2 linked regions of the Caenorhabditis elegans genome follow. The protein of the gene in region 1 purifies or fractionates together with the protein of each later gene. This does not show direct contact. Each region holds a gene or a part of one and is shown on either strand. Other genes may lie near its edges.

Region 1 (8,113 bases):
ATAGCAGAACTTTGTGGATGTAGTAGCTGTGAAATCTCCAGAAGGTGGAGCTTTGATTGTTACTCCGTCGGATTTGGTGCTCAAGTGACATGTGTGAGTCTTTTCGAAGTAAGTGTAAGATCGGCAATTCTGGAATGATGGTTATTTGGGTGATTTTTATAATGAAAAAAGTACCTTCTCTTTGCAAATTTTCTCGCACTCTCTTTTATTTGGAACATTTGAATCGATATCAACGTTTTCTGATTCTTCAGCTTGTGCGCTGTTCTCAAAAGCGATCCACACATCAACATCGTCTTGTTGGCATTCTGAAATAACAACTAGATTGGAAGTTTTGAATTCATTTTTTAATCAATTTTTTACCTGTTTCAATAATGTTTTCATTCTCCTCTTCTTCGTTAACCTCATCCAAGAATGATTTTGCTTTTTGAATATAACTCGTTGAAGAAATTGTAACTGGTTTCAGATCAGGTCTTCTCTTTGCTCCAACTGGCTTTCTTCTCAATTCGGATTGTTTTCTAAATGCTGCTTCTTCGTCGAATTTAATAACCTTTGCTCCGTATCTCAAGTTATTCTTAAGTTTTTGAGTTTCCACTGCAACTTCCGGATCGGATTCTTGACTCGTTCCCATCAACATTTCATATTTATCTTTGTTTTCTGTCTTGAGGTCCTCTAGTTTTTCATCGATTGATTTTTTAGTTTCAGAAGGCTTCACATCCATTTTTTCCATGGAATTCATCCATCTTTGTTCGCTTGAAGTCTTATCTCTATAGACACCATTATTATCAATTTGAGCATCAGAATCAGCAAATGATCCTGTGAATTGTGATGGTTGTTCCATTACAGATTTCAATTCAGCATCCAAATCTTCTTCATCAATATTAACATTTTCTGAGGTAGAAGTTGGAGGGACAAATGGTTTTTCAGTTGTAACAACAGCTAGATCTTCATCATTATTCATAGCTTCCTGGGTAGCAGTTTCGAATGTAACAACTTCTGGAATGGAAGCTTCGGTCGACGTAATCTGCTCTTCTTCTGTTGGTGGTTGTGGAATTGCGAGTTCTTCGTGGATATCTTGTTGAATTTCATTAATACTATTAAAGGAATTTGGAAGAAGAGTTGGTGGAGCATCTGGTGGTGAAGTTTTCGGATCCGAGGCAATTTCGGAGCTTTCTTCTGAAAATATGAAATTACTACTTGGCATCGTAACCAGCCGAGCGCAGCAACTAAAACGCTTTGTCACCTTTCGTTCTTTTTTTAAGTGGGCTAAAAAAGGGAATTTTCTTTAAATTTCCTTTAAATTATTTTCTGAATTATTCTAGAATTCTAACTTTGAAGTTTAATCAACTAATAGTCCGAGGTTTTGAAAGATTACAAAAAACTGTGTAACATGCTTGAAAAATGTTTTTGAACCTTCTGAACGATGAAATCAAACCACAATCTGCACGATCCTCCAACTTATCCACTCCAAAATTTTCACTTTTATCACAATTATCATTACAAAATATCTCGATTCCCTCTCTTCCCTGTTATCTCCGAACAGAATACCTCTTCTCCAGAAAAAGAGACAAAAGAAGAAATGTGTCCGAAATAAATCAAAAAAGACTCACGCAAACAAGATTGAGACACGACACGAAGGTAGGTCATTTTGGCTGATAGGATTGCCTGATCGACGCCTTCATCCGAGAAGTAGTGGCAGATGTGTTGAACAGTGTCGTATACGACTGAACGGCATCGAGACTGAAACATAATTATTTTATATTTTCTGTTAATTGAATTTCGTATTTTTAAAAAAGCGTTCTAACAAATTGGCATTTTCCTTATTGAGAACATGAAAAGTATCAACCATACCAGAGAAAAAATGATTTTAGGAGTTCAATCAAATATTTATTATCTACCTGCTACAGTAAGTTTCCGACTGTTGAATTTATTTTTTTAACAAAAAAATATAAAATGAGAACAACTGTTCTGTGGATTTACCATAAACTTCCGATTAAAAAATGTTTTGAAATCTCTAACGAGCATTTAAATATCAAAAATGTTTTAAAAATAATATTTTACCGCAGATTGTGCACAGAAGAGCAAGCACATATCCTCTGTTTTCATTCTCCATTCACTATGATATGGTCTGACATTGACTAGCCGATGGTTTGGATATCGTTCGAAACATGGACGAAGAACTAAAAAATAATGCTTTTTGCAAGCTTTTTTGCGAGAGATGAATCTAGAAATGGTAGACTAACCACTTGTGTCTGCAAGACAAGAACTGATGAACACCGCAAGTAGAATATAAATCCTCATTTCTGAGAGGCAACACCTGAAATTCCAATTTTGTTTATTTTTTGGAAATCCGTTTAATAAAGGTTTTTAATAAGAAAACAATTGTGGGATTAAAATAGGAATGTCTTTACAAGAGTTGAAACGATTAGCGGGTGAGAAAATGTTTTTTTTTAGTTTTTTGATTGGCAACCAGCAGTACAACGGACCGAACTTTAGCTACAAGACCAAAAAATCCAATAAACACTTGAAACAATAATTCTAGTTTGAAACAAAGCTAACTCAAAAACAAAAGAAAAAGCATGAAAATGAAACACGATTAGACGCCAATGAATTCCGTCCAAAATGCGTTTCTTTTCAGGAACAATAGATTCCATTTTCTGACCTAATTCGTCTGTACAACGACGGCTAGTCGATACTAGCTCGTGTTAAGCTGATAAACGAAAACCGGGACGAGGGAAAGAGGGCGGAGCGTTTTGAGACAAGGCTTAAGGATCAGGAGAAGACGATGAAGAAGGGAAAATGCATCAATCAACAAGTGCAACTTTCCATTTTAAATCAAAAAGACTTTTCTTTTCGGAAAAGAAATATATCTTTTCACTTTTCTCGCACCTGAGGGATTCATCGTATGTTTGCGATAATCATGCGAATAATTAGCAAAATATTTTTTGATAAATAAATTGTTTGTAATTGCAACGAGAGGAAGCTTTGAAGAAAACTGAACAAGTTTAAGTGTTCATAATTCCAAATTTTCAATAAAACTTCACAACCAATATGTAATTCCTGACCGATTATTTTAAAATTTCTATCAACCGGGAGATATATTTTTAAGTGATATCATTGTTTTTTTTTTGAAAACGGAATTCTTAAAAAGTCGAAGTAAAAACAGAAATTTAAATTGTAAATATTTGAACATTTTTTAAAATAATAGTTTATTTGAACTTTTTTTAAAAAATCTATGAAAAATTAAACTTTAATTCTATAAAATTAGTACATAGTGACTGGTCTCTTCTCAATGTATTCTTTCAATCTCGGATAGTTCATCACCTTATCCCTCCAAGCAAGAATCTGAAACTGACAGATACATCTTCATAAAACTTATTTTAATAACGAACCACTGGATAATCATTTGCATATTCTGGCCACCAATTGAGAAGCGACGTCATGTTATCAAGAATAATCAAATCAGCAAAAGTAAGGCCTCCGTCCACTAAAAATCCTGACTTGCTCTTCTCAAGATATCTGGTAAGAAGTGGCAGAAATTTGTCTCTTGCCGGAATCAGGACCTTATCCTTCTGTTCATCACCGTCCAGATCAGTCAATCCAAGACCTAACATGGTGTAGTAATAGTCACGAATTTCGGAGTAAAAGTCTTTGAATTGGTCGACAAATGCATCCACCATTGCTGACTCTTCAGCTGTTTTTCCTGCGAATCCTGAAATAAATAATTTACGGAATAAGCTTGTTTTATTAAAGTGTATAGAAACTTTACATACCAAACTTCTTTGCCAAGTACCTAGCAATTGCCATAGATTGGGGAATTTGAAATCCATCAACAGAGAGCACTGGGACTTGTTTGAATGGATATGTCTCTTTCTTCTCCAAAAAGTGAGGCTTTTCAAGCCTCTCGTCTTCGAAATCTACGTCTGCCAAATGGAACAGCTGACGAGAAACGTCTCCAAGTCCACGAGACAAGAAATATGTAAGCTTATAGTGAACCATGGTTGTTAATACAATAAAACAATCAATAGAAAACTGATAATCATATTGGAGAACATCAGTAGAGAGTATTTATTTGTTTTCTACATGATGACAATTGATAGTGAACTGGGTGAAAGTGTACGGAAATTGAGAGAATAAGACACATGGTTGAGGCCAAAAAACCAATTTGATACGAGGCAGGTACATAAAACGTCATTTTATGAATAACTTTGCAGACAAAGAATTTTCTGTGAAAATATCGTTATTTTGAAACCAGGAAAGCATACTGAAGGATTTAGAAAATGCATAACTGTTCGAAGCGAAACTGAAATGTTTTTGGAAATTAAAGAGCTTCGTTTTTTAATTCTCTTAGAATTTGTAATGCGATTTTTAATTTAGTTTTTCAAAAATAATCTCAGTTCAGTCACCGATAGAATTGCATTGCTCGATTAGTCGATTTTTGCTAAAGTTCTATTGAAATTTTTAGCCGTTGACAAGTTTCCAAGTTGGTTGTTCTAGATTTAGTGCAACTTGTAAAAACCAGGTCAATCCCTGTTATGCCCTTTTACCTCTTGCTCTTCTTATAATTTTTTTCCTCAACTTTCAAATTCCTTTGTCTTTTCTTTTTTCCATCAAACATTTTACAACGACTCAGTGCGCAGAGAAATGCAAAAAAAGAGAGCGCAAACAGACTCTGACCATCAGATTCTCTTCCATCGGCAACACAACCAAATTGACCGGTTCAGTGTGCCTGAGAGCCTCCCCCAGTGAGACCTTGATGGAGAAGATTAGAGAATGTGAGTACACATGGGACGATATGATATGGCATCTCGCAAAGAGCATCGACAGATTATCATTTCCGGCAGATTATTTTTTAAGGCTCGACGACGAGCTCGGTAATCATTCTTGGCAATCATCACACAAATTCCATCGGGGTGGGTGTTATCTTCTCATATCAATCCGGTGCCGATGCACTCCCCAATCAAATAAAAGGAACAATCCGGAAGTATTCGAGTTTCAAGATGTTGAAGAATAGTTGAACAATCATAAAACAAAGGTGTGGAATCCGATGTTAGCATAGTTTGGATCTCGATCGTTGAACTGTCTATAGTTTCGACGCAAATATTGTGGTGTCTTGTAGACTGTTATTGCTAGAATCAGAAACATAAACCATCAATATCTACATATTGCGAGACCCGAAATTCAGGAAAAATTATTATGATTGTAAGATCATGCCGAAAAGTTGATTATACTGCTTTGATAAAGGTTCAAACGTGGATACCTACATAGGCCTACATAGGCTGTCGTAAAAATATATTATACGGACCACAATAATTAGGTAAGCAATAAATTTTATAGGCGATGTAGGTGTAGGCGATGTAGGCGTGTGGTCACTTTTTATTCTTAAATGAGAAATACTTATGTCGTAAGTTTATTTCATCGAGTCTTGTTCTCAGTATTTCAGAACTAATAGAACTTTTGAAGGTAAGGATTATTTTCTGAAATAGTACACTTTTTTTAATTTGTATTCGGACAGCAGTTTGAAAAAAAAATAATTGTTAAAGTTCAAAATGTTGTTCATCCAAGACAAGGCATCCCCCGCAATACTCCCGTCACTGATAGGAGTCAAATATCCGTGAAAACTGTGTTCATCTCAAAACGAGGCAAATAAGGTCGGCTTCGAAAATTCCGGGTGTTTAGGGTCTCTCACTTGCAATTCCTTGCACAAATGTTTCCTGAGAAGACAATATACAGACAAACATGTGCTCATTTCACCCATTTCCTTCTCTCTCTCTCTCTTTCTCTTTTCTCCAAGAAAAGTATTATAATGTTGGGTGCACCTCCTCCCACCGTGTCAACGTATTACGCATTTTTTGCACCGATCCGGTTTTTTAAAAGCAATCATTGTTTGAATGTAGGTCGCGCATGGAAAAGTACACGTGGATTAGAACACGTTGAAACATACACCAAACATCGTTTGAGAGGAAATTACAACAGGAAAACTGGCTCCAAAACTGGCTATAGAAACAACACTTTTTGATTTTTGGTTCAAAAATTACTCCGTTCCAAATGTTCAGTAGCAATTGTAAAAAAAAAATTTAATGCTATTTTCCTGAGAAATTTCACATTCACAGAAAATCTCTATTTTCAAAACATATATTAAAAGTTGAAATTTTGATGTCTATCAAAAATTGTCAAAGAACATAAATAGGCACAATTGCAATATCAAACAATGTTCCATTCAATTAAGCTAAACCGGAAAATCTCTAGCTCAAAAAGAGAAGTCATACAGTTGGAAACTGTTTCGGTGATCAGTTTACGATGCTCTGCGCAGTAAAGACAGAAGAAACGACTCATGTTGACTTACCTTGATTCATTGAACTTATGTTCAGAGACTTACCGACAAATGACGGGATGAATCATTTGAGAATTTCTGTAAAGGTGCAACTAGAAGAGAAGTTGTACATTGTTTTTATTCGAAATTAGGCAGAAATTAACCGGCAAATACCGAGGTATATTGCAGGGAGCTATAGTACACATAATAATATCAAATTGACATGATTTATGAGTAGGGAAGTTGATATCATAATTGGTTCAAGTATATCTACTACTACTGACAACTTCGACGAGCCCTGAAACATAAACAGGAAAAATTGGTACTAGATTGTGTAACATACAATTGATGCGTACCTCTTCGAAAATATTTTACCGTAGTCTGAATTTGTACGTGATAAGCTCTCGTCAAAAACAAGAAACTACATACATTGCTGCTCACAACGAAATGCGTTCAATTGAAATTTCTATTTGCCAACCGGGAGCCTCCAGACGGTTAAAACTGTCAAATGATGTGATTCCGTATGACTCATCAATGTCTGACCCAGAAATCCGGTCCTCTCGGAGTTTCTAGTTGTTTTCCACGTGTTCCACGTCACAATTGAATTCACATGGCAACCAGCTGCATTGCATTGGTAAAGTGACCATTAAATTCAATACGAAAAGTAAGCAAATACTTCAATTGTGTGAGTTTTAGTTGACCAACTTTTCATCAGGTTCATGAAGAATGTGAATGAAAAATGTTTTTATTCACTGTGAAGTAGGGGAGATCAAGAGATAAAGAACAGGCTAGATTTGGAGATACGAAAAGCGACAAACATGTGTTTTTATGTAAGCAGTCTTCTCCGAGCATCTTTTTATAGATGTTCGAAATACTTGAAGCGAAAAATTGCGCAACTTGAACTAAACAAGATAATCAGTGCGGTTGCTGCTATTTATGGATGATGATTGCTCGCGAGAGGGGGTCAGCAGGGACGACATTCCTACAAAGGGCATAAGGAGAATGAAAAAGTATGCGGGTAGAAGAAGAGAGCAAATGAGCATTGAGAGCATACTGTATTTAGTGATAAGCAGAGATTTTTGATATCTAAGCTAAGAGTGTCCGGAACATTTGGAAACTAGAAGCATTGGTCATGGAATTTTATTTAGAAAAATTGAAAAAGGAAGTCACACACATAATAAATTATGTGCATCTAAAACGTTAAAAAATCCAAGTATTGTACCGATTTTAATATTTCCAGGTACTGAAAGATTTTGAAAAATAAACAATTTTAGCAGCGTTTTTTGAATTGTCTTTGCTTTACATTGAAAGCTTATATCTCGGTTCTCTTTGGTTTTATCAAAAAATTGTCAACAAACCAAATGCGTGTAAAATGTTTATCTATATATCAATAGTAGAACATTTTTTGATATAACTCATGACAGTCGAGATATGAGTCGTCAAATTAGAGCAGTCGTGGTAAAAACTTTTAAAATCACAAATCAAGAAAGATAATTAAATTATTTTTCGCTGTGTGACCATTTTTATTTCAGCATGCGCTTCAAAAAACTACCAAGTTGCGTTATCATATTCTTTGGTTTACTCCGAAAATTTACTGGTAGCTATATAATTTACCAAAGCTGAACAAATAATCCACTCATTTGGTGAATAGTTCTAAAGTATACAAGCTTCAAGTCATACAGGTTATTTCAAAACTACAGTACCCTTCAAGGCTTTGAGGACCTCCGGTTTCCGAGTATGAATTATGAAATGTTTTTCGTCTAGTCCTCATTGTCTCAATCACTATCTCCAGGCAAAAAGATG
Region 2 (8,320 bases), on another chromosome or scaffold:
AACTTGACATTCTATATTTTTTAACTTCATTATATTAATAAGTGTATTTCAATAAATTCTCTCGTCATTATCGCATTATGATACGGTGATACGTTCTAGGGAATTAAGAAGAGTGCTCAAGTGAGCCATCTTGATAGTAGGAAGGGAACGAGAGGGGGGGGGGGGGGGGGCTCAATACATCTGCATAAGTGATTTCTAGTTGTGTAAAAATTATTTGAAATGAAGAAACCATGCAAGCGCTGCTAAAAACCACACCAGAACCACGTGTTTTTGCATATATAAACTCGCGTGTATGTTTATATATCGTGCGCGAAGGATGGTGTAGTGGATAGAGGCCTCCAACACTGCGAGAACGACGACGGTTCGAGTTCGGCAACTAGTGAAAATGGGCGGAGCAATGGGGTACCCCGTGGATCATGATGGTGAGACTGTCCAGGTATTCGGTAGGGTAAGGAAGGGTTCTAGGGAAAAGGTGAACATGGGGGAATACCCTTTTCCATTTTTCTTCGAAAACCCAAAACCACGCCAGCGCTGACGTAAACCATGCCAGTAATGACGAAAACCACATCATCACTCGAGAAAACCACTATGTTCTACTGCCCGATCTCGAGTGGTTTTTCACCAGGGCTGGTGTGGTTTTTGTCGGGTACTGGTGTGGTTCCAAATCACTGAGTGTGTGCAATTTTGTGTATGGATGCATTATAATATTTTCGTTTTTAGCTGCGGTACAACGATTCGTGATTCTGTACATTTCAAAGTACAAATGGCTAGTGACGGGGTTAGTTTGTTGATAACGTCGCTACAGCAGGCGATGTCAGAAAGTTCACTAAGTTTTCAATGGCATTTAATACATTAACATTTCATTAAACAGCTGCATTTACGCATTCACACTTGATGTTTGTGCTACTGTAAAATTCCTCTGTAAAACTTTGAAATTTTGTTTTTCAAAGTTTGATGTTTTATAACACATGTTCATCGATACTTGTTCGTTCCACACGTTTACACCAAGGGTGTGCGGCAAATCTCAAAATTTGCCGAGCTCGGCAAATTCGGCAAATCTATTTTTCCAATATTTGCCGAGCACGGCAAATTCGGCAAATTTGCCGTGCTTAACAAACTCGGAAAAATTTGATGTTTTTTGGAGCACCAAAACTACTGAATTCTTAACAAATATCTGGTTTCTAAATAAGCTCCGTGTAGTGTGTCTACTGAAACATCAAAATAACTCAATTTTGTGTCACTTTACTAAATTTTTGGCGAAAAAATCAATAGCTTTGGTCAAAATTGCACTGTCAAATTTTTGACGTGTGCGGAAAATTTCAAAATTTGCCGTGCTCGGTAAATTCGGCAAATTTTCCGAGTTCGGCAAACGGCAAATTCGGCAAATTCGGAAAATTTGCCGCACACCCCTGGTTTACACGTGACAGATTTAAAATGAACCCCTAATAAAGTCTGAATACTGTAGGTCCAACCTGTCAAAGCTCATAACCTTTGCCTATGTACTCAGTATTTTCTATTGCTGGGTTTATGGTACGTTTACTTACTTTTTTCCAAATAAAAGCAATTAAACTTTGTATTCAGGTTCTTTGCTTGGAGCGAATTCTTCTCCGACATGGGAAGATATCGCTTTCGTAGTGTACAATTTCATATTTTTTATAATGACCCTAACTTCTGGATTATTTTATTACCATCTTTACCAACTTTTGAAAAAGCTACATTCAGATGTGATTCCAGAAACTCAAATATTATACCGCGTTGTTCCTATTTATAGTCTACAAGTGGTAGAGTCAAAGTTATAACTACAATTTGTTTTTTTTTAACTTTCAGGTCTTCACTTTGATAGCTCTAATGCAATGTATACTTGGCTACTATGAATATAAGGAGATCAAAAATGTTCTCTCTGCAGTTTCAATGTTTCTACCTCATTTCACCCCAATTATCATTTCATTATCCTACACAGCGTCCATGCAGCCAATACGATCAGTGGCTATTTCAATAGTTTATCCAATTTTCAAAGAGTCTTCAGTGTGATGCTGTAAAATTTGTAAATTTTTTAAAATCAAATCAGCGACTCTTTATTTATCGCGAAATTCCCTTGATTTTTGGTTACTTGATGCATTTGTATAGAAATCAGGTTAATGCTCGACCAATTTATTTAACATTTTTAGAACTCATTTACAAAGTTTCATCATTTCATTTGGATCAGTTCCACACGATGTCCCACTTGGGCAGTTAGAGCATGGCTCTCCTTTGTCGAACAGTTGCTCATCAATATTCTCCAAACTGAAATTAAAACTTTACAAACGCAATTTCAGGTTGAAAACTCACGGAGGACTATACTTGCAGATAACAAGACGAGTGTTATAGTTGATCCCCTTTGAATCAATCTTGTCACAACTTTCGTAGATACATCCAATTGACTTAGATTTAGAGTAAAGCATTTGTCTAAGACGATTCTTTGTAGCTTTCTCTTCGGATTTCAGCGCATTGTGTGTATCCTTATTAATACTTCCCATTGCTCCAACGCCCTGAATCCCGACAATTTAAACGTTTTTTTTTGTTATGGAAACTCACATCAATATCGTCATAAGTATTGACATCGTATTGGTAGATGTTATCTCCAAGTTTGATAGGTAGGTTTTTGTTATCAGCAGGTTCACAGTAGTATTTTTCATTCTCGACTTCAGCAACCAATGACTCATTCCAGGACTAAAAATATATAATGAAATTAATTTAAAATTGAAAAAAACTTACCAGAAGTTGCATGTTTGACGATTTGGAGATGCTGTAGCGTTCCCAAAGTCCATGCGAAGCAGCGTTTCTTAGCTTGTTATGAATGAAAACAATATTATCGATTGCTTCTGCGTTCCATTGATGTTGTGGATTGAAGTGACGTTCAGCATGGGCAGCTGCAGTAAGAGCCAGGAGGAGAATGATAAGCTTCATCGTAAGCAGTGATACTTTTCAAAACAAATCAGATCTCTTTTATACTTTTGCTATAGACAGCGAAGTGCAAACCAACAAAAGGAAACCTCAAATATTATAGTCTGCAAACCGTGTGTTTTGATTCTTATGGAGATAATTTCCAAGTTTCCATGCATAGTTCCTACATTCTTGTTTCAATGATGTTTACATAGCTGCTCCCACACACTCAAATCTGTTTTTTTGATGAGACCTTTTATGTGCCCTGAAATCAAAAAATCAAAAACTGTCTGGTCAGATTTGGAAATATCTAGGAAAAACTAACAAAATCGAATAAGAAAAATCGATTTTTTTTCCAAAAGTGAGACAATTGCGGCTTCAAGGTATTTAAAAAAAATTATCCAACTCAGAGTAATGACTTTAAAACGAAAATTCCATAAAACCACGTCATTTAGAAGAAGCCAACACCGTTTGAAAAAAATGGCAAACGACTTTTTCCGGCAAATCGGCGAATTGTCGGAACTGAAAACTTCTGGCAAGTTGGCAACCGGCAAATTGCCGATTTGCCGGAAGAACGGCAATCACCGAAAATTTTTTGGCAAACTGTGGTTTTGCACTTTTTTTGGATATTTCAGAATAACAGGAAAAAATTCCAAAAAGGCACAGTTTTAAGTGTATCCGTCTTATAAAAAATCCCTCTAAAAACTTTAGAGATGCAGATGTTTGGCAAACTGCAAATCGACAACGTGCTGAAAATCAACATTTCCGGCAAATCGGCAAATCGGAAAATTGCCGGAAATGAAAATTTCCTGCTTATCGGCAAACCGGCCTTTTGTGCCGATTTTTCGACAAAAAAATTTGCCAAACGGCAATTGCCCAAACACGTATTTAGTCAAATTGACAAAAAATACGTTGTATCATTTTTGTAGCTCAAAAAGTGGATGATTTTTTTCAATACACGTGCAAAATTTGCTCATATTTAAATGTGTACTAAGTTTTTTGCAAAAAATTTATTAAATTAGTTTTTTTTTTGGATTAAAATATTTCGATGCAATTAATAACGTTGTTTTATGTATATATTTCTGAACGACTCTTTACAAAAGATAACAGAGCCTATAAAAAAACTTGTCAGGAAAGAGAATTTTTGAATGATCAAAAAGATCAGTGTACTAAAGTAGACCTTCTTGAATTTTTTTGCTTTTTTTCAGCCCCTAATAAAATCACCTGCAGTAGTTTGTTCGCAAAAATTTATTAATTTTCCATTAACGTCTAAACTATGTCGACGGCATTGGAGCAGTATTATGCGACAAATTACACAAAATGTAATATATCCTATAACATTCTTGCTACGTGGCAAGCAGTTGCCTATCCAATACACATTATTCAATTTATCTCATTGCCTTTTCAAATCCTAGCGTTCTACATTATTGTCACGAAGACCCCGCCAAGAATGAAACCAATGCAATTACCACTATTTCTAAACCACTTATTTTGTGCTTTGTTCGATATTTGTATGTGCTCACTTTCTACTTTATACTTTTTCCAGCCGATAATGGCGTTTGCGAGTGTTGGTGTGCTCAACTGGTTGGGCGTACCATTCGTTTATCAGGCAGTGCTAGGAGGATCAATGCTTGCTGGTAAGTGTTTTCCTAACAATTCCCGAGTGCGCATTTACCACCATATTTGGCGCATCTTCTTACGGTAGTTACTGAAAGTTACTGAAGAGCTTAGCCTTTTCTAGTAAAATTTCGTCATTGCAGGTGTTGCCGGTTCATACGTCTTCCTATTCGAAAGCCGTAGCAGTTCTTTACCCGAAAATCGATTCCGAATTTATCGCAAAACATCTCGTTTCGCCTATTTCACATATTTTCTCATTCCGTTCATAGCGGCTTACGTAGGCATGCTAATGATTGCCGAGGAATCAGATGCTGGAAAATTACGGGCTCTAGCTATTTACCCTTGCCCTACACGAGAGTTTTTCATATTCCCTGTTTGTGTATTCGAGGGCACGACGAGCCACATTTTTCTCGTTTATGCCTTGGTTATGTCACATACATCTGGAAACATTATATTTCATGTCGCATGTCTCGTATACTACCTTTATATTGCGCCACCACGCACACTATCTCAAAATACTCGAAGAGATCAGAAAATATTCTTAGTCTGCGTGACGGCACAGACTTCGGTACCACTTTTGGTTATAATCGCTCCGGCCATGATCGTTTTGTTAGCATCGTGGGCTGGATATTATCGTCAAGAATGGATGAGTTTGGCTGCAATTTGTGTTGCAACTCACGGGCTCGCCGAGAGCATTGCGATCATGATGGTGCACAAACCCTATCGAGCAGCGATTAGGAAAATGCTCCGAAAAGAAAATACAATCGTTATGCACAGAAGTGTAGAATTATAATGTTGAAATAATAATTTGTAGATCAAGCTCTATTATAATAGTATTTTCCTAAATAAAATTTAATATCTTAAAGTTTAACGATTTATTAAAAATGATGTTTTATCAATTAAAGACTAAAAAGACCAGGTGCTAAGACTTACAAATATAACTTTCAAAAACCAGAAAAATTGGTTGATAGTTTTGAGAATTTTGCAACGAAAAATGGAAAAAAAAAGTGGCGGGAAGCGAATGAATTTGGATTTCGACTGATTTCACGAGGAGAGACAGGTTTATTTTAACGTATTGTCCAAATAAATAATTTTTTAGGCTTAAGATTTTTATTTTATTATTATTAAGATTTTTATTATGTTTATACTTAGGCCTTGGCTCAGGCTTAGGCTTTGAATTTCGCTTAGGCATAGGCTTAGGCAGTTAATTTCAGGCTTAGGCTTAAACAGTTAATCAAACAGTTGGTTAAATGAAAAACTAAACAATTAAAAAAAATCAAATTTCCGCTTGCAAAAACGCTTGCAAAAATGATATTATAAACCTTGAGCATTGCCTACACTTTTCAGTAAGCTCTCTATTCTCTTTACTCTTTCTGTGAATAATCACTCGTGATGGTTGTTCGGAATTAGAATAACTTTTTCCGAAAGAAAACTGCGACGGTTGTTAACTTTGAAGACTCATTCTGAAAACAAATTCACACAAACGCAGTAATTATTAATCGATGTGACATAGTTGTTTTAGCTATCGATATGTTCATTGTAAAAACAGTTTTCCAAAGAAGCCAGGCACCTCATGAACTGGTCATCAAGAACTCAGACGTTTCGGTGAATTGATATTACTGAAAGTCATCTTGCAGTGAAGGAGAAAAATAAGAATCTGACACATTTGTTATTAATATTTGAGAACATGCTTTCATTCACTCGAATGTGAGAACAATGTTCTCGGAAAACTTCCTTCCATTCGCTTGAAGGAGTAATGTAATTGGCTGTTCATAATACAGGGTGGTCCATAATTATGGTGACCACTTCTTGCGCCTATAAAATTTGATAGAACTTTCTAAACATAGTTAAACCACACAGGTTTTATTCACAATTTTCTAGCAAACAAAAAATGATATTAAACTTTGAAAATATCTGCTTGTGCGACTGAGCAGAACCCCTGAAACAAAGAAAAAAATTTGTCGTTGGCACGCTACTTGCCTATATTTTGCTTTCTCAGGTCCTTTCTAGCTTCTCCTGCAGATAAGAGATGTTTTATGACACATTTCAAGATGTTTTAAATCGGAGAATTCGTTTTATAGTACATTTTATATAGTTGCAAATCTCACGCCTCTGTAGTGGACGGTTAAAGTAAGTTAAAGTATGAACGTTGAAATGTCAGACGTTCGACTCGTCATGGCACTCATGAGAAAAACATTTGTTTTGAATATAATTTGACCCTATTCTACTAATATTTTTCTCAATTACTGTAAAAAATTGTGACATTATCGTACCAGGTAACAGAGATATGGCCAAATCTGTGTTCATTTTTCAGATTTTTTAAAAATATAGTGAAAAAAGGGCTGTGGATAATTCCAAACATTCATTTGGCAGAAGCTGGAAATGAATGTAACACACACCGCAGCTGTTGAATCTTAAAGAAATATATTTTTTCTTCTAAAATAGTAGACTAACTGTGAAATGAACCCGTTTCAAAACTCCCACGATCAAAAATTTGCTGCGTGCCAAAAGGTCGTCTGCATGAAAAGATGCGTTACTTTGACGGCGCTACTACAACTCCGTTGTTTGACAAATGAAAAAGTTTTTTATGTTAAATAGGAGGAAAATATTTTTTCTATTGCTTCAATACAAGAATGTTGAATTTTAACGTTTAAGTTGCGTAAAAACAAGCCGCGACTGAGCGCGACACTGGTCACCATAATTATGGACCACCCTGTATAATAGTATGTTATGTGGTTTTTTTTTCTCTTTTTCTCCATGGGAGTAACAAACAAAAGCCAGAAATGAACGAGACAGAGGAAAGAAAAATTTTCTCTTGTGTTTCCCAGAACAAATTTTAATTTTTTTTCGCTGTTTTCACGATATATTTCGTTGTTCTACAACTCGGAGAACGCCTTTCCGATTTTTCTTTCTCAAACTTCATTTAAGACATTTCGGCCCATTTTTAAATGCCAAAATTTTTAAGGTGCAATTTTCCAGATTATGTCCACTTCCTCATATTTTGCTTCACCAGAATTTTTGGCCCTGGCAACCCATCTTGTCACTTGCTTCGAAATCCCAACATTCATCTATGGAGCCTATTGTATTCAGTTCAAGACACCGGAAAAGATGAAATCAGTGAAATGGCTCATGTGAAACATTCACTTTTGGAGCACCGTATCTGATCTCACAATTTGCTTAATAGGTGTGCCATATCTACACTTGCCATGTATTGCTGTGCATGTGCTCGGGTTTTTCGATGCTCCTGGTGAATTGCTATATGTCCTGGTGACATTTTTAGGAGGTAAGTAGGTTTCATATAAAAAATTCAATTTCAAACTATAAAGGTGTTTGATAATACAATTTCCAGCCCTTGGAGTTTCGATTATCATAATTTACGAAAACCGTTTCTACACTATCATCGGCCCAGACTCTCTCTGGCATTACATGAGAAAAATCTATTTACCACTGATGTACATATTCCCGCTCACCTTCACACTGCCAATCTGGGCAGTTATGCCAATACAGGAAAACGCTCGCCCATGCGATGAAGCTTTACAACTAGAAAATATTCACATGGAATCGAAGAAAATATTCATTATATCCGTCGATCCAATAATTTCAGTCACTTGGGGTGTGACTAATTGTATACTCATCGTTACACCTATCATAACGTTCTTACAACTTCTCGAAAACCAAAAAACACACAAATACTCCTACCAAACAATTCAACTTCAGAAGACTTTCTTATTGTCCATGTCAGTACAATTCGGCTCTTTTTTCGTTATCATTTTTATTCCTG

The links. Proteins that work in one complex are often made in the same cells at the same time.
Region 2: the proteins of gst-13 (region 1) and srh-111 fractionate together in Caenorhabditis elegans (co-fractionation; one large-scale study listed by BioGRID). This does not show direct contact.

Annotation. Positions count from the first base shown.
Region 1 is NC_003280.10:9,227,424-9,235,536, reverse strand, and holds gst-13 (glutathione transferase), read right to left. Parts: upstream 4,081-8,113; 5' UTR 3,997-4,080; coding exon 3,771-3,996; intron 3,710-3,770; coding exon 3,390-3,709; intron 3,343-3,389; coding exon 3,262-3,342; 3' UTR 3,193-3,261; downstream 1-3,192. Other genes in the region: T26C5.2 (Apple domain-containing protein), read right to left, coding at 1-129, 175-305, 361-1,173, 1,608-1,737, 2,059-2,177, 2,241-2,298.
Region 2 is NC_003283.11:17,481,057-17,489,376, reverse strand, and holds srh-111 (Serpentine Receptor, class T), read left to right. Parts: upstream 1-4,198; coding exon 4,199-4,559; intron 4,560-4,682; coding exon 4,683-5,332; downstream 5,333-8,320. Other genes in the region: scl-24 (SCP domain-containing protein), read right to left, coding at 2,172-2,283, 2,329-2,528, 2,575-2,709, 2,755-2,946.